Alligator mississippiensis: one gene and its partners. The protein of the gene in region 1 interacts with the protein of each later gene in a biochemical or structural test. Links are inferred from orthologs where the notes say so. Each region holds a gene or a part of one and is shown on either strand. Other genes may lie near its edges. The genes, in order: AURKA, NIN and INCENP.

The links.
Region 2: of the proteins of AURKA (region 1) and NIN, one has a biochemical effect on the other in vitro, tested with the Homo sapiens proteins (2 studies listed by BioGRID). The link is inferred for Alligator mississippiensis from reciprocal best matches to the Homo sapiens genes AURKA and NIN.
Region 3: the proteins of AURKA (region 1) and INCENP form a complex in vitro, tested with the Homo sapiens proteins (3 studies listed by BioGRID and IntAct, with this or other methods). The link is inferred for Alligator mississippiensis from reciprocal best matches to the Homo sapiens genes AURKA and INCENP.

What each region holds. Positions count from the first base shown.
Region 1 is NC_081832.1:9,930,526-9,938,435, reverse strand, and holds the start of AURKA (aurora kinase A), read right to left. Parts: upstream 3,089-7,910; 5' UTR 3,043-3,088; exon of another isoform or gene 2,998-3,042; intron 2,698-2,997; 5' UTR 2,693-2,697; coding exon 2,639-2,692; intron 2,265-2,638; coding exon 1,982-2,264; intron 1,505-1,981; coding exon 1,450-1,504; intron 1,155-1,449; coding exon 963-1,154; intron 1-962. Other genes in the region: CSTF1 (cleavage stimulation factor subunit 1), read left to right, coding at 3,918-4,037, 4,946-5,122, 5,840-6,035. UniProt on the Homo sapiens protein: Mitotic serine/threonine kinase that contributes to the regulation of cell cycle progression.
Region 2 is NC_081825.1:298,548,296-298,555,768, forward strand, and holds the start of NIN (ninein), read right to left. Parts: upstream 3,056-7,473; 5' UTR 2,983-3,055; intron 2,972-2,982; exon of another isoform or gene 2,425-2,971; intron 1-2,424. UniProt on the Homo sapiens protein: Centrosomal protein required in the positioning and anchorage of the microtubule minus-end in epithelial cells. May also act as a centrosome maturation factor.
Region 3 is NC_081825.1:179,235,662-179,242,811, forward strand, and holds the start of INCENP (inner centromere protein), read left to right. Parts: upstream 1-4,103; 5' UTR 4,104-4,195; coding exon 4,196-4,323; intron 4,324-5,945; coding exon 5,946-6,062; intron 6,063-7,150. Other genes in the region: inner centromere protein, read right to left, coding at 2,279-2,392, 2,985-3,129, 3,664-3,724. UniProt on the Homo sapiens protein: Component of the chromosomal passenger complex (CPC), a complex that acts as a key regulator of mitosis.

The DNA of each region.
Region 1 (7,910 bases):
ACAGGGGAGCCGGTCCTCTGCCGACAGCAGCTGCATGCATGCCTCTGGGCAGATGGTGGGGGAGGGGTATAGGGCAGCACAACCCCAGCCTCTCTCCTGCCATCTGCCCAGAGGCACACAAGCAGCCAAGAGCTCTGGAGCCTTATGGAGCCATCTAAAGCCTCACCCCCCAGCTGCCTGCCACAGCCAGCTTGGGTTTCAGGCAGCTGCTACCAGCCGTGGAGCCCAGGGTGCTTGCAACATGGCTTGCAGCTTCCCAGCTGTCTGCTTCAAGTGGCCCATGGCAGCTGCCCAGAGCCTGGGGCCAGCTGTGATGTACCAAGCAAAATGGCCTCGCATGCCATACTCTGGCATGCATGCTGGGGGTTGTAGAGGGTCTTAGGATGTTATTGCTAAAGATACTTTTCATTTTTTAAATTGGTGTTCTCCCTTATATCCAGGTTTATTCAATAGGAGAGATGCCATTTGGAAACACTGCCAATGACAAAGTCTGTTCTTCCTCAGCATGTATAGAATTGAAGCATTTTCAAGTACAAAATAATTCACTGCATTATGCCAGCCATTATCTCACACTGTCACTTTGCCTAGCAAGTCAGAAGCCAGAATCCAGTAAGGTTAGTTTAAGAGAAAGTTGGAGTTGCATCCTCTCTGTTGTATCCTTTATACAACAGGATATAAAGACTTCCCCCCAAACCGTAGTTCTTTCAAATTACTTCCTTAAACATGTTTTGTGTAAAGTCCACTGTAACTTAAAAATAGATGCAATTTTAAGGGATTGCCATGGCAGAGTATAAAAGCATAAAGACTCCTGTTACATGTAGACGAGTTCAAACTTTGTGTTAAGGTGATAGAATTCAGGAGGCAATAAGTTCAGCTGCTTATCTTGCTTGAAACAACATATCTTTAACTACAATTCTAATAAGTTGGGGGGGAGGGGGTTTGTTGGTTTGTTTGTTTTTTACCTAAGATGAGACTGTATTTCTACTTCCCTCCTCAGCTGATGCTCTACTCCAGCTTCCTCCAGCTGAGATTTAAACAGCACCTTCAGTGCCAGAATAAATTTGCTTTGTTTTTCACGAGCCAGATATACATTTCCAAACTTCCCTTTTCCCAGAGGGCGGCCGATTTCAAAGTCATCAAGAGACCACTGCCTCCTAAGAGAGGAAAAAAAAAAATATAGTTAAACTGCTAGAATACAAAAGGCCTGGAACTCTTTTTTTTTGTATAAATGTCCATGGAGTTATTCTGGGTTAAGATTTGTATCAATTTAACCAAGATCAAGATCTGGCCTCAAAATCCAATATATTTAAACTGCAGAATACTTTTTCTACACTATTTATCCTTAAATGCTAAGAGTGAAATTCTAACCCAGTTATCACTGACAAGCATTTTAGACTTCTGGGTCTAGGTTCCCAGTTAACACACAAAAATACTAGGAATGCAACTTACTTTTTAGTCTCTTGATTTTTCGGTTTAGAAGTACCTTCTTTTTCAGGCTGGTTTGCTGCATACAAAAAGTTTCAACACCTTAATTAATCAAACCCACAAAACACAACTGCTACAACTGTCAGCTTTTACCATGCTTTTTCTAGATTCCAAGTTTTGGGTAGAATGATACTTCTATTATTATAATATTATATCTATCAGCAAGGTACCTTACCATCTGTGGCTGTTAAATTTTAGTCACTATTCTGTTATGGGGACAAGCAGGTAGCACCCTGCTAGTTGGCCAATGTTATTAATCCAGAAATAATTCTGTGTAGGTTCATACTACCCAACATTTCAACCATCTTCCTATGTGAATGTGATCCTCTTATATGGAAGAAAGTCAGGATGTAAGATAAGTTACACAAACCTGATCTATAGAAAATAAGGGTCAGGTCTGTTAATTTGCTGCAGTCAACCAGTTTAATGATCAATCTTTGAAAGTCTCCTGGGTGTCATGTCAAGATGAGATAGATGTGTAAATGAATCTATTTACCAGATACTGGGACATGATGAGGCTTTTCATTATTATTTGGAGCTTGAGGCCTAGAAGATGTTTGAACTACACATGTCGGCTGAGGCTGCTGCATCCGCTGATTATGAGACAGTTTCTGATTAGACGCTGCAGTCTTTGGAGCTTGTGATGGTACAGGAACTCGCTGAGCCAAGTTTGAAGGACACAAGACACGTTGTGCTTGGGCTGCGCCTCCAGGGACTCGACTCTGAGGAAGCTGAGAGACGGGGACTCGTTTTGGGCCATCCCCAACGTGGGCTGGAATCTAAACAGACACACAAGACAAGGCAGAAGCACTAATTATTGTACTGTAACTCATGAAGTTCATTTTCCACCCTCGCACAACCTAATTTAGCTGCATTTCTCCCCATTAGCCTACCAATGGAAAGTAAAAATTTAAATCGATCTGAAGTGGGGACAGTACCACATTCTCAGACTGTTTTAAGAACAACATAGGCCTCCATAACAGAGCTATTAACACCTCTGCTACGCATTACGTACATTATGCTGCCCGGCCTCATACACAGGCAGGGCGAACACTTGGAGAAGGCAGGGGGGCCTTCTGTCGAGATGACCAGAAGGGGTTATCGCAAACAAGGACCAGGATGAACTGGTGGAGCAAAGAACAAGGCCTTTTACCTTGACACCATGTGTGGGCAGGCCGGGGCGGTTCTCTTTCCGGGTTCTGTCCATGCTGCCTGAAAAAAGAGAGAGTTCAAATACAAGCCAGCCTGGCCTGGAGGCTCAGATCAACCTCTCCAGCAGGTCCATCTGCCCCTCCCCCCTCCAGACCCATCTGCCCCCTCTCTCCAGGCCCATCAGCCCCTCCCCTCCCCACCACTCCAGGACCCCTGCCCCCCCACTCTCTCCAGGCCCATCTGCCCCTCCACCCCCCACTCCAGGACCATATTTCCCTGCCCTCCTCCTCTCTCCAGGACCATCTGCCCCCCACACGCGGGGATCCCAGGAGCCCTCCCAATACCCCCATCGGCCCTCACCACCACCGCCCCACACCCCACCGCGAGCGCTGTTTGAATTCAAACCTCCCTCCCCGTAACAGCCTTTAAAACCGCCGCTGCTCCCTATTGGCCCGCTTCCCACCACGCTGGCGCTCTGATTGGCTCCTGCTCCACCCTCCCCGCCCGCCCATTGGCTCACGACTGCTCCCGCCCCCTCCCGTCGCTCTCAGGCCGCGGGTCTCCAGAGCGCCTGCGCGGTAGCGTGAGCCGCTTCCAGCCCCTAGGGCGGTGCCGACGCAACGTGCGTAGGTGACGTGCCGCCCCTCGGCCGCTTTTCCCCCCCACCCCCGGCGCGCGCCAACTGCGTAGATCGGCGAGACAGTTACGTCGGTTTTTCCGCCAGTTCTCGGCCTCGGTTGGTCTCTCCTTACGCAAGTCGCGTAAGCCCAGACCACCCACCCGTGGCAGCGATGGAAGTGCCATCCCCGCCGCCCGCCGCCCCGTGAGGCCGCGGGGCGGGCAGTTAGCGGGGCAGGAAGTGCCTCAGGTCAGTCCTGCCCCCTGGCTGGGAGGCGGCAGCCCCCGGCTCCTGGCAGCGGGGGGTGGGGGGGGCTGCGCTGCCCCCTCAGGGGAGGCAGGAGGGCACCGGGCCCGGGCTGCACAGGCCGCACGGGGCAGCTGTGCCGCAGGCCGGCGTTGAGCGCTCGGGCGCAGCCGTGATACATACGAGCACCACGAGGACGTCCGGAGGCCCAGCCGCAGCGTCGCCCGCTCGACGCCTCCCGCCTGCGGGCACCCGCGAGTGGCTCCGGGTCCCACCGGCCGCCATCGCCCGACGGTGAGCCCAGCCGAGCCGGCCCGGCGGAGCGAGAGCAGCCGCAGAGGTAGGTGGCGGCTGACAGCGCCGTCGCCCGACAGAGCGCGGGGAGGCGATCCCGGTGCCGGCAGCGAGCGCCAGGATGTCGGGCCGCCGCCTCGTCCCAGCCTGCGACAGACGCCCGCTGCCACGGGGCCTGGGGAACATGGGCTCCCCCCCCATCGACCCGCGGGCCCTGCGCCTGCCCTTCCTCGAGGCTGACGTGAGTACGGCTGTCCCTTGGGGCGGGCGGGCGGGGGGGGGTGCCCAGGAGGAGCCTGCCGCGCCTGAGACTTTGCTGCCCGGTTGAAGTGGGGAACCAACCGGCGCTGCCACGAAAATCGGCGGGAGCCCGCGCTTGCCCGCGGTGTCCGGCTGCGGCAGTGGCCTAGCACCAAGGGGGCATACCCCCAGGCGCCGGCTGGGCCCTCCGGGGGGTATTCGGTCCCCTGGCGGCACTTCCTGTTTCGCCACCGTTGTTTCTGGCCTCGGCGATCGGCCGCCTCCTCCCACTTGGCGATTGCCTGTGGACAGGCAGGTGCAAATGTAAGCATTGGTTCCTGGGTGCTGGAGACCCGTGCTACGCCAGTGGTTTGCACGGACGCGTGGCGGGACAGACCCCGTACAGGAGCACCTGGCAGTGACGGCCCTAGGGGAGGGCAAATGGGGTGACTGCACTTTAGGGGACGCCTAGAAGTTTGCAACCAATGTCTGTGCTTACAGGTCATCCACATTTAAGCCTCCAAGGGGCCCCAGACGACCCGCTGGCCTGCGGCCCCAACACCCTTAAGGCCACCATTGCACCCAGGCTGCTCCCTGAGACCCCACCTGCCCACAGCTGGGATCTGAACCCACTACCCTCAGGCCTGGGCTGCCCAGTCCCCCACTTGCTGCCTGCCCAGGAGCCACAGCAGCCTCTGCTGCCCTTCATTCATCTCCACCAGACTCCCTTCACCCGCAGGGATCACGAGACCCCTCTGCCCATGCTGCCCCCACCCCCCAGGATCGGGCCCGCGTGTTGGACGTGCTGGGGGAGCCCATGGACGGGTCACGTGGCTGCCGGGCGCGGCGGGGTGCGCGCATGCGCGTTGACGCGGCTGTCCCTTCCCTTCCCTCCCTGCCTCCCTCCAGGGCCGGCTCCCATCGATGTGCGGGCGCTCGATGCAGCTGCCTTCGCGGCGGAGCCTCCTGCGCTCTCGGCTGCTGCTGCCGCCGCCGCCTCCCCCGCCGCCGGCGCCTCCCATCGATGTGCTCAGGGCTCCGGGCGCCATTTTAGGCGGAGAGCGAGGGAGGCCGAAGGAAGGGTCGGTAGGTACCGGCGGGCGGGGCTGCGCGTGTCTTGTCCCTCCCCGGCCCGGCTCGGCCGCGCTGCCCCGGGAGCCGCTGGGTGCGGCCGCTGCCGCCCTGGCGGGCGGGTTTTCTTTCCCCGCCCTCCTGTGCCGCGAGTCCCCCACGCCCCCTTCCCGCCCGCGCGGGCCACGGCGCCCCGGCCGGCTTCTCCCTCCGCTCCTGGCCCCGCGCCCGTCTCGTCCGCGGAGCGGGGTCCTGCCGGCACCGCGGCTGCAGACGGCGCCGCTGCCGCTCTCCTGGCCCTTGGCCTTTGTCAGCCTCGCATCGCAGCCCCACGCATGCTGGTGGCCAGCGCGCTCCTCCGCTGTCACTGCCGTCGGGAACGACTTTGTCATCTCTTCTGGCACCTTGGTTTTTGGCCTCCACTTCGGGTTGCAAACTGAGCAACTCTTCCCCCCCCCTCCCCCCAGTACATATAAGACCTTTTTTGCCCTCTACTTTTGATTGCAAGCTGAACATGTCTCCCTCTTCCCCCCAGTATATATAATACCTTTTTTGCCCTCTACTTTTGATCGCAAGCTGAAAATCCCACCCCCCCATGCAATACCTTTTTAATTGACTTTATCTCCATTAAGGAACTTTGGAAAATGACATGCGGTTCACTTTTCTATGAAAGGCAACGCCAGTTCAGTCCAATTTTATTTTGTGATTTTTTTTTTTTTATCTTTGTTTCAGGCCCCTGCAAGGCAGTCCTTGCTCGCAATGTATAGAACAAAAGTGAGCTTGAAAGATCGTCAGCAATTGTATAAACTGATTATTAGTCAGCTGCTGTATGATGGATACATAAACATTGCCAATGGCCTGATAAATGAGATAAAACCACAGTCAGTCTGTGCACCCTCTGAGCAGCTGCTGCACTTAATTAAACTAGGTAAGCTGTAAATTTTAATGTCAATAAATGAGGAATTTTGAAATTCAACTTTGCTTACAGTGCAGGTACACAGTGGTCTCAGTCTCTCATGCAAAAATCACTCTTAATGATGCTCTGTTGTTAGTGTCATGGATGGCATTGATCCTGCTTTGATTTAGGGTTTAGATTGGATGATTTTCCAGTGTCCTTCTATCCCTACGTTTCTCTGGTTCTGCTGTGGATAGGAAATATTAAATGCAGGGCTTTCAAAAGCAGTTTGGTCTTTTGCCACATACAAGAATGCTTATCCAGTACCCTGAATGTTTTGAAAGCCTTCAGGATCATAATACATGGGTTCATTGAATGTACCAGATCAAAGCAAAGCATGTGGTAATAAAGGTCATAGAAACTGACATAACCAGTTCCATATGAACAACATAAGCTGTACTCAGCCCACATCTCCTTGCAGAGAGTGGACAAACCATGTGTCCTGTTGTGTTTTGAAGGCTGGAAATGTAAACTGCTTTAAGGATTTTGGAAGACAGTGGGATCCAAAGGTCCAAGGCCACAAAAGAGGCAGCCCTGCCACTCCCTCTCTAATGACATACCTGCACCTAGACTACAGCATAGCATCAAAACAGCTGAACTATTCACATCCTAAAAGCAGCTTAGCCATAGCAGCATGGAGTTCCACATTGGTTAATTTACTGCAAAATGATTAACTGCGCCGTTACATCAGTCCGATATCGGATTAGAACTGATATAAAGAAAACTGGCTGTATTGGAAATCGGCTCAATGTGGCCAATAATTTGGCCAATAAGTGCTCATGTATGTGCATAGCCGCAACGCAGCACTCAGGCAGTGAGGAGCAGAGCTGCTCGCAGCTGGTAAGTCTGATGTGGTAGAAGGGGCTTTGGGGGGGCAGATCAATGTCCCCATGTGTGTGTCCATCCGTCCGTCCCCAACATGGTGAGGGAGGGGGCAGATGGGGCACGGGCCAAAGCCACAGCTCCTCGTGGTGGGGGGGAGGAGGGGATTGTTCCTGCCACTGCTTGCACCCCAGGAAGGCATGTGCCCCCGGATCTGTGCAGGGCAGGTGAGCTGTAGCTGCAGGCTCTTCTCCATGTGAGCTGGGCTCGGGGGTGGCTACAGAGGAGGGTAGCGTCCCATGCTCTGCCCTGGCTGGGCAGCACTTGGCCTTGCCCCCCCTCTCACCATGGTGGGGTGTTGATATTCCCCCGCCCTTTTCCTCCCCTCTACCACAATGGACTTACCAGCTGTATCAGAAATTGGATTGATATCAGCTGATACGCCTCCTTAATTTTAGCTATTGGTATCTGCCCAAAAAGTCTCTATCGGTGCATCCCTAGTTAACGGATTGAACTTCATCTTGTATACCTTGTGCTATATGTCACAGGAAGTATGTCTTGAGGAAGGGCAGGTAGGTCCTAAGTCACTTAGCGTCTGCTGGAATAGGGGCATTGCATACCCTAATGTTGCTTATCAGGTCAGCATTCAAATCTGCTATAGTACAGCCTGTTTGACTGGACAATACACAGTGTGACTGTACAGCATAAACTTCATGTTTGGCAGCAGACATTAAGCAATATCTGCATTGGAGTATGCAGCATAACAGAATTTTTTTTTATAGAGATTGTGCTGTAGTAGGATCTAGAAGTCTCAACAAGGCAGTGACCATATTTTAAAAATAGCTTTGATCGAAAGACTTTACCATTTTAATAAGCTAAGCAAAAAAGTCAGAGGTGAAAAAAAACTAGGAAAGAGAGAGTAACTGATGTATCCAGATTTCAAACCAAATCAGTAGCAGAACCAGAAATAACAATCCAAGTCTGAGTCTCAGTCTGGTATCTTGACCACTAAACCATACAGTTCTA
Region 2 (7,473 bases), on another chromosome or scaffold:
CCCCCCTCAACCCAGATGCCATAATCCCGTCTCCTGCACGCAATGCACAGCTGCCTCCTGGCCCCTCTGAATTATTCAGCAGGGCTTAAAAGGCTCCTACCTGATGAGCTCACAGCCACCCCGCGGCAGCGAGGCCGAAAAGGAGCGTGCAAGTCATCACCGAGCAGTCACAATAATGAGGTCACGCACATCGGAGCGCTGCGCTAGCACGACACCGAACGCCAGCAATTTCAAGGGCGGAAGCTGACTCTTCGGGTCAGAGCCGAGAGTGGTGCTCGCCCGGGGTGGGGATGGGGGGGCAACGGGAGGGAGGGAAGATTGGCAGGGCGGAGAGGGCCTTGCAGGGGGGAACAAAACAAAAATACAAAGCCAGAGTGAAACCCAGGCCTTTCATCTCCCCTCCAGATGGTCCAGCAGCTGAGCTACAAGATGGAATGTCTGGATTGTTTCATTGCTTCCCGTCCTCGTGCATAATAATAGCGGCCGCATGAGCCGTGCTCAGACACAACTGATAAAGAGTCAGCAAGGCCAGGGACCAGTCTCGAGCTGGGAGAGGCAATCTCCCAGCTGAGCACCAAAAGCAGGAGGGGGCAGTTGGATGGCAAGTCTCTTTGCTCCTCAGCCCATCACCTGTAGTAACATAATGCAAATCCTCGCACCCCTGCCTGAACAGGCAGGAAAAGGAGGCAAATATTCTGCTTTAAGACAAGGAGGGCAGTTGCTTTTCAGGGCTAAAAACTCCGATGGAGTCACCAAGGACTAAGAAAAGCAGAAGTCCCAACAAGCACATATTGTAACACATTTCAGGAAGCATCAAGGAAGTTTCGGGGGAGCTTCTTAGAAGACAAGTCGAGGAAGATGCTTGAAATGATGCCCAACGTGGGCTCGGAGGCTTGTAGCTTTTCCTTACAGTAAAGGCTGTGGTTAGGAGACGCATCAGCTGCATGGAGAACAAAAGGGATCTCAACTGAGGCAAGTAATTCAGCCTCGTTTCCAAAGTCCAGACCCCCCAGGTTAAAGCTACGCTCTCGAGAGCCTCAGGTAACCTCCATAACGGATGTTGCAGAGACTTGATAGCGCTTCCCAGCTAAATTTAACCCTAATGATATAGGTTCAAAAGAGAGGACTTGGGATCCAGCTTCAGCTTTAAACATTTTGAATCTAGATTAAACTTCAAGCCTGAGCGTACAACTAATGGAGGGGTAGACGACCTGGCCAGCACCATCAAGTCCGAATACTACAATTAGCACAGCACAAATGAACGCTGCCCTGGCAAGCCTGTAATTACTGGAGCAATGTTACTAGAAGAGGAAAACCAAGCAGTGCGCTTGGCACTCTTTCCAAAGAAACACCGCTCACTTGAATTTTCCCTTTGCTGGGCCATATTTAAATCACATCCAGCTGAGGTCTGAGACCCTCTCTCTCAGGTGCCACTACGCACCTTAATATTTTGTATACATTTAATTAAAAAAAGCAAAACACCTGTCCTCAAGGAGTCGACCCTCTTTCAAAAAGCCACCAATGAAGGCGAATGTACGCATTTGCCATTGTTCTTCAATGCTTTCTCAAGCCGAATGATCGGCAATTAGACAATCACAGGTTCCCGTTAGAAAGTTGACTCATAAACCACCATCAAAACAAGCGCATTATTGTCAGAGGACAAGTGGTCATTTTGGTAAGGGTCTTCCCTCTGTGAAGAGCAAAGAGCCAGTGTGACACATGAAACCTTATCTCCGCGCACGGATTTCGCTACAGGAATAATGTGTGCATCACCTGGCCGACCAACCCCGCGCGCTTTTATTTTCTAGTTTTAGGCTGACTTGACAAGATACACAAATCATCCGCTGAAGCGGCGGGTATTTGAGCTCTTGCCGAAAGCGCTGTGCCCGGGTTGTCTTACCTCAAGTCATTATCTCCTTCCATTAATGAACTCTTCTCGCCTATCTCTGCATCACCCCATCAGCATAATTCACTGCTTACTCCCAGCCTATGTGCTACCAACCCAGCTTTTCATTTCGGAGCAATACACAGAATGACATCACGCCAGCTTCAGCAGCGGGTCCCCTCCAAAGCATCAGACAATACAAAAAAGCAGCAGCGGGCAGAGCAGCCAAAAAAAAAAAAAAGAGCAAGACAACGAAGCAAGCAGCACCCAGGAGTCAGGAAATCGCCTTCCAACGTACCCCACCCCACACCACCAAAACCAGCGTTTCCACCCCCCCATGAAGTGCCCCAATCATTAGTGCAGTCCAGTGCTGTACCTCTCCTTGTGGCCCTCCATCGGAGGATTCAACCTGGCCTGTGGTTCACAGAGAAGTCAGGTGGGAAGGGACCTCCAGAGACCACCTAGTGCAACACCCTGCCTGAAGCAGCATCCCCCCCCCCGTCCACACCATCCCATCCCATCCCAACCCAAGCCCTCACCTGAACTGGACACCTCCCAACGCGATCACAAAAGGTGTCCTCGAAAGGCAACTCCACGACCCGGCGCACGCTCCCTGCCCCGGTGCCACACTGGAGACTGGGCAAGACAGGCCTCGGGTCTGTCCCTCCTCGGGGCTCGGGGCCAAGGCGCGCGCAGAGCGCTGGACTGGACTGGACTGGACACGCGCGGGCGGCTTGCGGGAGGGCTACTCCCGGCAGCCCGGCATTTGCATCCTAATAGGCTCTTGCCATCAGCAGCCTCCGGGAAGGGGGGCCGAGCGAAACAATGGGCCCATCTGCTTGGGTTTGGGGGAAGCCACCGCCAGCGAGCCGCGGAGGGCCCGGGCCACAAAGCCAGGGGCGGCGGGGCCGGGTCCCAGCCTTGCAGCGCCCGGGGCGGGCGAGCCGGCGGCCGGGCGGCGCTTTTGTGCAGCTCCCGGAGCCTCCGGGGCAGGGGCAGGGGCAGGGCTGAGCGGCTGCGGGAGCGCCCGGGCGGGCCGGCAACAGCCTCCGCGGACCCGGCGTGGGGCGCGCTGGGAGCGGGGGCGCAGCACTCACCTCCGCCCCGACGGCAGCTCCAGCCCGCAGCCCGCGAAGGAGGAGCGCAGCCGGGCCCGCCCTGCACGCACTCCCCGCCCGCCCGAGCCGCTACGCGCCGGGCGCCGCCTTTTAAAACCTCAGCGGGGCCCGGGCATTGGCTCCGCCGGCTCAGCCGCTCCGCCCCCGGCTTCCCAGCCCGCCCGTCCGCAGCGCCGAGCACCTCGCACCGCCCTGCTCCGAGCGATCCCCCTCCCCTCCCTGCCCGCAGCGCCGAGCACCGCCCCGCTCCGAGCGCCCCCTCCCCGCCGGCAGCGCCGTGCACCGTGCATCGTGCACCGCCCCGCTCCGAGCGCCCCCTCCCCGCCGGCAGCGCCGTGCACCGTGCATCGTGCACCGCCCCGCTCCGAGCGACCCCTCCCCGCCCGCAACGCCGTGCACCGTGCACCGCCCCGCTCCGAGCGCCCCCTCCCCGCCCGCAGCGCCGTGCACCGTGCATCGTGCACCGCCCCGCTCCGAGCGACCCCTCCCCGCCGGCAGCGCCGTGCACCGTGCACCGCCCCGCTCCGAGCGCCCCCTCCCCGCCCGCAGCGCCGTGCACCGTGCATCGTGCACCGCCCCGCTCCGAGCGCCCCCTCCCCGCCCGCAGCGCCGTGCACCGTGCATCGTGCACCGCCCCGCTCCGAGCGCCCCCTCCCCGCCCGCAGCGCCGTGCACCGTGCATCGTGCACCGCCCCGCTCCGAGCGCCCCTCCCCGCCCGCAGCGCCGTGCACCGTGCATCGTGCACCGCCCCGCTCCGAGCGCCCCCTCCCCGCCCGCAGCGCCGTGCACCGTGCATCGTGCACCGCCCCGCTCCGAGCGACCCCGTCCCGCTCCCCCGCAGCCAGGTCTCCCCGGCTTGCGGACCCTGGACACCGGGCTGAAAATCCCACCCAGCCCGAGCAAGTGGAGACCCCGCCACGCACCCACCCGGCCGGGGCAACCCCACGACCGGGAAGGGGGTTTTCAGACTGGCCCTTTCTTGGCAGGGGTAGTACCTTGCCCCAGGGAATGCATAAGTAGCCTCCCGCGGGGGAAACACCATGAATCTGGGTCCGAGGAAGCCGTTTTGCTTAAGCGTTCCTGGGGATAACTGCTCTTTTGGCGTGGTTTTGTACCCGCCGAGGTGTTGGGGCTTAAAGCCCGCTTTATGGAAATGGGAGGCTCCTCCTGAGCTTGCTTCTCTGGGCTTGGGGCTGCATGCAGGGTGCCCACCAAAAGACGTTGGAAATATCTGAAGGCCCTGGTGGGGGTGGAGGATGTTTGCCGGTTGTAGGGCCACTTATGGTTCTGGACTGACTCACGGATTTGGCTTGGCACACAAAACATTTCTTTAAAAAAAAACCCCAAACAAACTGTCACTTCCAGTGGGAAGCACTCAGCAGCAATATGCTAACTCCTTGGCACCGTGTAGAGGGTGCATGCAGGTGCATGTGCACCCCCTGAGGTCGGCTGATGCCGAGGCTGCCCCCGGCGGCGTCTGTGGGTGGTCACCGATTGCTGCTCGGTGCTCGCCACCACACCTCGCTTCCCCCAACACTGGCATCTGCGGGCAGTCGTGGATCGCCACCCCACTGCCACCACTGACAAATTGTGCCCCCCTCCCCAGAGTTGGGAGGCGCCAGTCCTTTATACACTGACTTGTTGGAAATGGGAGACTCCTCCCTAGCTTGCTCCTGCGGCCATACAGCTGAGGGCAAGCGAAACTCAGGGGCATCCGAACCCCAACCTCTGGGCTTGGGCCTGCACATAGGATACTCGCCAAAGGATTTGGAAATATCTGAAGCCCCAGGTGGAGTGGAGGATGTTTGCTGGCAGCAGGCCACATATGGTTCTTCAATCACTCATGGATTTGGAATTGATTTGACTCAGGTCATGAAAAATTTTCTTAAAAAAAAAATGCATCCAAGTCCGAGTTGGGACTGGGCTCCTTTGAGCAGTGCTGGGGGCCGGGGTGTGCTCTGCCCTTCTGCTTTCTGGCTACAACCAAATGCTCTGGGATTTTCTCTCAGCCTCCTGGCTGCTTTCATGCTGCAGGCCCTGGAAGGCCCTTTTAGCTGCTGAGAAACTTCTTCCCAGTACTTAGAGACCCCAAGTAGTTGGGGCCGGGGTGTTGGGATTAGCCCTGCGCTGGGGTCCCCGGCACCCAGATGGTCCCTGGCTCCTCTGAAGGATCATGCTTTGGAAACCAGTGCCCTGCTTTGCTAGTGATAGCTTGATTCACTTTGTAGAGCCCAGCAAGGCTGATACAAATCATAGAAATCAAGAGCCTAGAGTTGCCTTTAATTGGGTCAGACCTAGGCCCACCGTGCCCAGGCTCCTGTGTCACACCAGGGCAGAGAGCAGAGGCTGAAAGGGAGAGTGAACTGGGTATGAGCAGAAGTTTTTCCCTCTTTTCCTCCCTCCTTTGCAGCCTCCAGCACTGAAGGCCGAGGAAGCTCTGATTCAGAGGCTGTGCTCCTTGCCCCTGTGCTCAATAGTGACTGATGCCCCTTTCCTCCAAGAATATGTCTGATCCTTACTGAATCTGGCTAAAGTCCATCCGCAGTGCTTGCGCCTTTGCTTCCAGATTGCCCACAGGCAGGCCGGACTGCCTCCGGTTGAGTAACGATCTCCACTCAATGATTCCCTGTTGACATCTTCTCAAGCCCGGTCGACAGCCAGTCCTTCATGCCTTGACCGTGCATTTTGGGGATGCAGGACAGCACCGCTGTTTTAATCAGGAGTCTGTGTTGTGTCCTGCAGGGGCAAACATCTCACAAAGGTCCAAGTGCCCTGGGCCTCTGTGGCTACCGTCCAGCCAATCTCTCTGCAAAAAGAAACTGGGTTTGTCTGGTAAGGCCAGTTCTCTGTGTCGACCACACTCTTATACTGCTGAATCCTCTAGCACTTTTGCTGTCATCTTGCCTGGGATTAATGCCCACCTAGCTGGTCTCAGCTGCTCCCCGTGCCCTGTGCTACATCAAATAATACTAAATCAGCACCTAATCCCATAGGGGTGAGCAATTCCACCCCAGCTAATGGGGGACGGATGCAGTTTCTAGCTTATCCCTCTCTGCCCTTTGCAGTGAGCCAGGAATACAGGACCGGGCCTCTTCAGCAGATCTAGCCATTTCTCATTCCCACTTGGGGTCAAGGAAGTTCTGGTTCAGAGGCTGTGTCCCTTACTCCCATGCTGAATAGCTACGGATGCCCCTTTCCTCCAAGAATTTGTCCAGTCCCTTTTCATAGAGAAGTATGGCTGGAAGGGACCGCCATACATTGAGTCCAACAGCTGTATCCTCCTTCCCATGGGCGGATGTAGGCTTTTGAAAAGGGGGGTGGGGTGCTGGTGGTGTGGTGCATCACCCCATATAACACAACGTATCTATTCCCCAGTTAAAAAGAAAGGAGATGCTTTCCTAATGTGCTGGGGGCTGCAGGCTACATTGTTTCATTTAAAACTCAAGCAAAAAAAAAAAGAAAAAGATAATGTAATTAGAATGTGCTTGAATTTGCTGTTATGGATAAAAAAACCACAACAAACCAGGCCAAAAAAATAAAAAATAAAATCAAAAGACGCTTCATTAGCACTATTGTCATTAGAATGAAATGTACAGCTCTTTTTCACGTTCAGAAAATAAAATCCAGCCTTCCTGAGCACCTTGGTAGTGCATCCAATGCTTCATTGATAGTTATGTACATACCTGAGTTATTATTTTCAGCTAGAATTAAAAACAGTTTGCAAGGCTGTTAAATAGGAGCTTCCTTACCAGGAGCAGCTAACAGGCAGCAGAATGGTTGAACACAGGCTAGCTTGAGTAGAGGAATATCACAATCACTAAAAAGGGGAGGGGGCCGTTAGTACCTATGGGATGAAGTGTTTAGAAAGAATCGGTAGCTTACAATGAGCTACAAAGTCAGTTGAGTCCCTCGCTGCTGCCTCAATAGCAATGCTGCTGCCGCTGCTGCCAGCCAGTTGGTTTTAAACTTTGGGTGAAGCAGGGATCAAAGGGTTCGCCTCCCTGGGTACACCCTTGTTCCTTAGGAATACTTGGCTGCCCGGTATATGCAGGTCCCTGAGCTGGTAATGCTCTCCTAGCATTGCCCCAGAGCTTGGACCCCTGCCTGGGACCCCTGTTAGCCAGTTCCATCCTCTCCTGTCATCCACTGGATGCCAGCTCCTGGGCTGGTACTTGGGCTGGGGTAGCTTGCCACGGACCCACACTCCATGGATGCTCCGTGTCCTGTGCAAAGTGCTCCCATCCATGCTGGCTTTGCACTAGATCTCCGAGCCCAGCAGCAACTAGTGATGAAGCTGCCCAGGAGAACTGCTGGGACTCCCAGATCATCAGACCCTTAGGATCCCACCTGCAGCAGTTGCCTGTTACCTGGCTGCAGGAGCTGGCTGGAGGGCAGGGCAAAGGTGGGGCAGGTCCTCTGCTCAGTGCTTGTATTTTGCTATCGTCAAGTCCCATAGCCCTTGCCCTGTA
Region 3 (7,150 bases), on another chromosome or scaffold:
CAACTCAAGTCATTGTGATTGGTATTCCGAGCCTACAACCTATGGCCTATTCATTGCTGATTTTGCTTTACTAGATACTGTAGCAAAAATAGTTTAGTTTAAGGACAGATTTGGACGATAACAATAAATTAACCTGACAGGATTTTATATCTAGGGAATATGAAGGTGGGAATATGAAGGCTAGGCAGCATGGAAAAAGTTAAAAATGTAAAAAAGGAAGTGAAAAGAGAGGATCTGACAAATAGGTTTCAGATACTATACTATGATTGTCACCCTCATTTCCCCAAGCATCCCTAACTTTGTTGTTTTACTTCCCAGTTTTGAAGTGTCTTCATCCAGGCTGCTCTGCATGATAGACCACAGCAATCAATAGCAGATACTGATAAATTATACAAGCGTAGCAATAAAAAGACAATTTGTGCACCTGGCAGCACACCATAAGAAATTTGACAATTAATGTTTTAAGTTACCGTATTTCATGTAGTATAGGTCAACACTGTGTATAGGTTAACTCAGGGGTTGGCAAAATGAGGCCCACAAGACACATGCGGCCCGCCAAGCCATTCTACCCGGCCTGCAGAGCCCCTAAAATAATTTAAAATATTGATTTTCTATCTGCCCCTGGTTGCCTGTTATGCAGCCCTCAATAGCTTGCCAAAACTCAGTAAGTAACCCTCCACCCTACATAATTGCTCGCCCCTGGGTTAGCTTCAGTTTTAAAAGTTAGAAAAGTTAGGATTTTCATAGGCATGGTGTGCAAGTCGAGGCCGAGCTCGGTGCTCAGCTGGCACGGCTCCATCCACTGTGAGCAGCACTGCCTGGGTCATGCCAGCTGAGCACTGAGAGCTGGCTCCATCCACCGCAAGCAGTGCTGCTGAGCACTGAGCCCAGCCCTGTCCCATCCCCTGCGTGTGACGTTGGGGCTCAGTGCTCAGCTGGCGCAGCCCCATCCCCTACAAGCAGTGCAGGCTCACAGGGGATGGGGCTGCACCAGCTGAGCACCAAGCCTGGCCCCATCTGCTGTGAGCAGCGCTGCTGAGCACCGAGCCTGATGCCACTCACAGGGGATGGGATGGGCTGGGCTCAGCAGCGCCACTTGCAATGGAGGGGTCTGGGCTCAGCTGGCAGAGCCTCATCCCCTGCAAGTGAGGCTGGGCTTAGCGCTCAGCTGGTGTGGTCCTATCCCCTGCGAGCAGTGCTGGTGTGGCCCAGGCAGCGCCGCTCATAGGGGATGCGACCGTGCCAGCTGAGCCCCAAGCCCAGCCCTACCCCTGTTCCCTGCAACTGGGTTTAACGCTTGGCTGGTGCAGCCCCAACCCCTGCAAGAGGCACTGCCTGGGCCATGCCACTTGCAAGGGAAGGTGGTACAGTGTATAAATCAAGGTTGCATTTTCAAAGGCCAAAACTGGGCTTTAAAATTCAACTTGTACATGATGAAATATGGTAACAGTGTATCCTTTGTTTAACAATAATTAGGAGAGAAAAAGAAATGTTAGTTCTTAATAAGATAAGTATGGGGAAAAGCTATTCTGCATGCTAAGAATAGCACACATAAGATGCTTTCCTTAAATTCAGTTCGAGTCTATTGAACATTTATAAAAAAACAAGCCGAAAAAGCATTTAAATTAAAAATCCAGTTTCAAATTTTGCTGTTTGTGTTCTATGAAGGGTTTATGCATCTCTCAGTTAAGACAAAGAGTAAGAAAATCAGCTTCATTTTAACTTATAGAAGCTATTAATAATCACTTCCAGGTTTTCATGCACTAGAGGTTTTGTTTGTAAATGTTGATAATTTAAAAACAAAACAAAAACAAACAAAACTTTAAATAGCTATGGAAAGAGTTACTAGCTTTACATTTTGTCAAAAACGAACTTTTACAAAACAGATTTTGAACCAATTTTGGCCTGGCCACGTCCCACTAAGCCAGGGGCAGGCAATTATTTTGGGTGGAGGCCTGCTTACTGAGTTTTGGCAAGCCAGCGAGGGTCACATGACAGGCAGCTAGGGGCAAATATTAATTTTCTAAATTTTTCAGGGACCCCGCGGGCCGGATAGAAGGGCCTGGTGGGCCACATCCAGCCTGCGAGCTGCATTTTGCCCACCCCTGCCTGCACTAAGCAGACTAATGATTTGAAATTTGAATGTATGTATATTGTATTCGTTGATTTGGGCTTTATTTTTTTTCTACCTGGCAATTAACTTTTCCCCCCTCCTTTGTTTGGTTTTTTAAAGTTATTTGTCATATGGCATATCTAAATTGACAGGGGAACCACTTACCTTTTTCTGGACAATTCTTTGTTCTCCTCCCTCAAAGAAAAAGAGCTTTTCTTCCTTCTCCGTTTCTTCTGTGATGGTGTTTTGGGCATCAGTCCAGGCTCAGCACTGAAGTTGCTGTTGCACAAATAAAAGGCAGAAAACAGAACGTTTCATCTGCTGCCTGACAATCATTCTATTTGCCTCGTATGAGCCAAAATTAACACAGTGGCAACCTAGGCACATGCCTAGGGTCTTAAGTGAAGAAAGGGCCCAGTTGTGCTTATTTTACGTATTATACTTATGGAGTTAAAAAAAGTAACATAAAAATTTCATCTCAGCTGGGGGCCCACGAGTTTGTTTGCCTAGGGCCCACTAAAGGGTTAATCTGGCCCTGTATGGAGAGCTTATGGCACGATAAAGTAGGACCTGTGCCAAGACAGCAGCAACGCAGAGACATTCTGGCCCACGCTAGACTGAAGCAAGCTGCCCAAAATACAGACAACAAGAGCCACTAAGGAGGTAAAGGAAATGCTATGGTACCAACTAAGGCAGCATTGCCAGGCACTTCAGATCTAGAATCTGAGACCCCAAACTAACTCAAGAAATGAGCAATTTTTATGGGAAACTCCAGTCTTTGGAATCGCAGCTTGCCAGCTGCCAGAACGGGGAAGGCTTCAGATAGATCACGGAGATGAGTCGCCCTCTCCTGCCAGTCAGGTGGACCAACCTATCAAACATCTTCACCGCCTCCTCCTCGATTTCCCGCAGCCACGCCAAATGCTTGTGCTCGGCATTGCCCAGGAACTCCGACAGCTTCTGGCTGCAGAAGTCCAGCAGGTTGGTGGGACCCACCATCTCCACCATGGCTCTGCCTACAACGGGCGGGCGAGGAGGAAAGAGCCGATCGCTAGGCAAGGCGCCTTTCGTAGGGTACCATCGAACCCTGGGGCAGACAGCTACGCCCCCACCATCCCTTTGGGAGACAGAAGGCTATCCCCAAGCTAGAGAGGGGATGAAAGGCACAGGGAAGGCGTCCCATAGGGAAGGAGCAGGCATCAGACCCAACCAGTCTAGCTCCCCCATCAGCACCCATCGCTCTGCTCCAGCAGCAGGAGCCCCGCTGCCAGCTCCTTCCCACACCCAGGGGTGCTGGAACCCAGGAGCCCCTCCTCCCTGGGCTTCCCCAGCCCTGCAGGGAGACAGGGCAGCCAGAGGACCCAGGCGTCCTGTCCCACCCCCGCCGCAGGTGAGAGACGCCCCCGGCCAGAGAACACGCAGAGGCAGCCAGGCCTCGCCCCCGCCACACAGAAGCTCCCTCCCACGCCCCACCCTTGGTGAAGTGCCCGTGACGACCATAGAGGCGTCAGCTAGACAGGCACCCTCCTAACCGGAACCGCCTGCCATACCCACAGCGATGCCCAGCGCAAAAAGCAAGAGCCAATGGCTGGCTTCCCTCCCCGAGGTCATCCGACCTTGCGCCAATCAGGGAGCGCTGTAAAGGAGCGGCCCGCCCTTGGCTAGCGCTCTTGTCCATCAACCGCGGCCCGTTTAGCTACAGGCTACGGAGGCGGCGCGGCTCTGTCTAGCTGCCCCGCCTATCAGCTCTCTCCTGGCCTTGGTTTGGTCCCTCCTCCTTCTCCTCCTACCTGCCCTGCGGAAGCTCCTCCCAGACTCAGTCCTCCAGGGTACAAGAGTCCGCTGGCTAGCAGGGCCTGTTGTGTAGCTCGGCACTGCTTTTTTCCTTCCTTTTCCTCTCTCCCCGCCCCTTTCCTTTGTGGCGTAAGCGCGTGGTGGCCCAATGAGCGCGGCGGGGGGATGAGCTCGATTCAAAAAATTTAGGCGGGCGCCGGCGGGGCTGGAAGTGGGGGGGCCGCGTTCGAGGCCGCGGCGGGTGTGTTCTGACCGTTGGTGGCTCGGGCCATTGCAGGCGGCGCGGCCATGGCGGGCACGGCGCACCTCGTGCAGACCTGCAGTCGGCGGTTGGCCGAGTTCCTGCGCGAGGTGGACGAGACGGACCTGGTGTGGCTGGCCGAGATCCGCGATGAGGCGGCCCGCATGTTCGGCAGGTGCGGGGCGGCCCCTCCTCCCAGCCGTCGTCTGGCTCGGCCGTGGGGGCAGCGAGGGGGGCGGCCACGCATGTCCAACCCCTACCTGGGTCTTCTCCAGCCCTGGCCGGCGGGAGGCCCTGGTTGGGGCGGCTGCGGTCGCTACCTTTCCGGCCCTCGGGGTCCTCTGCCTCCTTTCTGCAGGGGGAGCGTGGGCCGAGCCCCCTAGGGCAGCGGGAGGCTGCTGAGGACGGAAGAGCTGGTTTCTCGGGACACGCGTGAGGGGTCCTGGGTAGGGTACGTGAAGGGATGGTTCCAGCTGGGCCACAGATACGGGAATTGGGCAAGGGCAGGAAGGCGGCAGTGCCCCAGGGTCTTTCCGGCCCCTCCTTTCTGCCTAGGAGGGGTGAGCAGGAGGTTGTGGGGCTTGGTGGGGCCCCTCGGCTGCATCAGCAAGTTGAAGGGCCCGTGCCCTCTGCTGTGCCCCCTTCCCCAGCCCAGTGCTTGTTGTTATCACGCCTGCCCTGTTCTTCTGTCCCTGCTAAGGCTTCAGCTGCCCCAAGGACTCCCCCAGCAACAAGGGGGTGCTAACTGTTTCCGTGTGGGGCTGCGCCTCTGATCCTCTTGTGCATTAGCCAGGGTTGCTCAAGGCAGGATCTGCCCTGAAGAGCTTGACCCTGCCACACCTGGCTTGCTCACTCGCTTGTGGTCCTGGAAAAAAGGCTCAGGAGCAATATCTTGAAGCAACAAAAGAATACAAAGTGCAGCAACCCCCACCCCAGCGCATTACTGTTCACTTTTTCAGTGGTCTGAGGATACATTTGCAAATGCTTGCCAAGTACAGTGACATCCCTGGGAGGAAGTCACTGGGAAAGTGCAGGTATTTCCTATAATAACAGTACTAATCATACATGTGTCTACTGAGCACGGAGTAAGTCAGCCATTAATGCCTCAAAGGCAAAGAGCAAGGTATTATCCCCTGGCCTGTTGCTAGTTGGGGCTTTCATCACAGTTCCTGGGGCAACTTGCAATAACAGGTGGAAGCGAGGGGCAGGGGTTGATAACAGATATGCCAAGGGTAGGTCAGTCAGGCTGAGATTTGACCCTCTGATCCAGTCATGCTTTCTGGTGCCAGGTGAACAGCTGGCTTTAAGCACAGGGTGCACACAGCTCAAGGATGTCAAAAGCCCTTCATTTCAAAAGAGAAAACCTATCGTTATTTTACCACAACTGATAGACATAGCTAGCATGTATATTTATTATTCATAACCGCAGGACTCGGTGCTTGCAGGAAAAAAAGACATTTTCTCTAAAGCTCTCTAGGTGAGAAGTTTAAAGCTTCTTGGTGACTTGAGAACTGTATTCTGACTAGTCCTGATGTAGTACAGGAGGTTTTTGTTTATCCTCTGAAATTTAAGGTCCCAACTTAATAAGACCATCATGCACATGCTTTGTGTGGGACTACTGGCACCTCAGTTTCCTTACCATCTCTGCAGCCCTAGCAGAAGTGAGCCTTGTGGTCTCCCATGACATTGCGTTTATCTTCTCATTAGTTGGAGAGCTGCCTTTCAGAGACAGGCTGGCATAACAAGCAAGTAAAGTGCCCAGGTAATGTTACTACTTTTCCTGTTTCATCTGTTAAGCAGTGACTGTAATGATGAGCCAGAGTTGATGCCAAAAACTCCATCACAGAAAAATCGTCGCAGGAAGAAGCGTATTTCTCTTGTTCAGGATGAGAATGAAGATCCAACCAGGAAGAGGTAGGAAAGTCCCTGGAGTACCTTATATTTGAAGATGTTAAAACTATTTTTGATTGGGATCTTATCCCAGTTTTTGCATTTAAAAAGTTGTTGCTTTTCAGGCCTTAAGTAGAAAATTTGTGAAGAAATCCCTCTAAGAGGGAGGATGGCTTTAATATGATCTATACATTTTGCTGTTTAAGCACATGCTGCATAGAAGAAATGTTATTTTAGGTGACAGGTGAAGGAATTAAGCAGCTACTGCTGCTCTTTTAGAATCTCTTTGTCTCTCTCCATGTGTGTGTAGGCTAGTGGTTCTCAAGCTTTTTAGCCTCAAGGCACCCTGGCTGCAAACCACTGAGTTAGATTCTAGCTCATGCCAGGTGAGTGTGAGGAGGCAGCCCCTTACCCTCTGTGCCCTGTTTTTTCCATCATTTGCCCCCTCCCAGTGCCTGCTCTGTATCTGAGAGGGCAAGTGCTGCTTCTCCAGGAGCTTGAATACAAACAGCCAGAGCCACATGCACCCATAGCCTCTCCCACCTGCTTTGGGAGTATGAGAGGAGTGGGGGATGCTGGGGAACAGACCAGACCAAAAAGTGCAGCCCTGCAGCTCCACGGCTTCCCATTCACTTGCGCGTGCACTACAACAAACTGCTGGGAGCACAGGATAGCACAGAAGCAGCTGTGGAAACTGCTTGTCTGTGGAATGCTGCAGTGCCTGTTTCAGGGAAAAAGGAGGAGTGATCACTTACCTCCTGGCATGGGGGCCAGGCATTGTCACACCCTTGCAAGAATCTCATGGCACCTTGGTTGAGAATCACTGGTTTAGGCAGGAGAGACAGATCTTTGGCAAAAGTGTGCCCTTTCCAGCTATGGAATTGAAGAATAGAGTCCCCCACTCCTGAAAGTGTAGGACCTTTCCCATGTTTCTGCCTCTGTCAGGTGACCTTATCAATCCTAGTGCTGCGTATCAGCCTAGTAAATGCTAAAGACTCACCTTTAAAAGCTGCTCTCTCTATACACCATTGTACTGTAAAGGAACCATTTTGGATGCAGGCTTATAGTGTGCTGAAACTGTAACGGTACTAGAAGTCCACAGGGTCATAGGA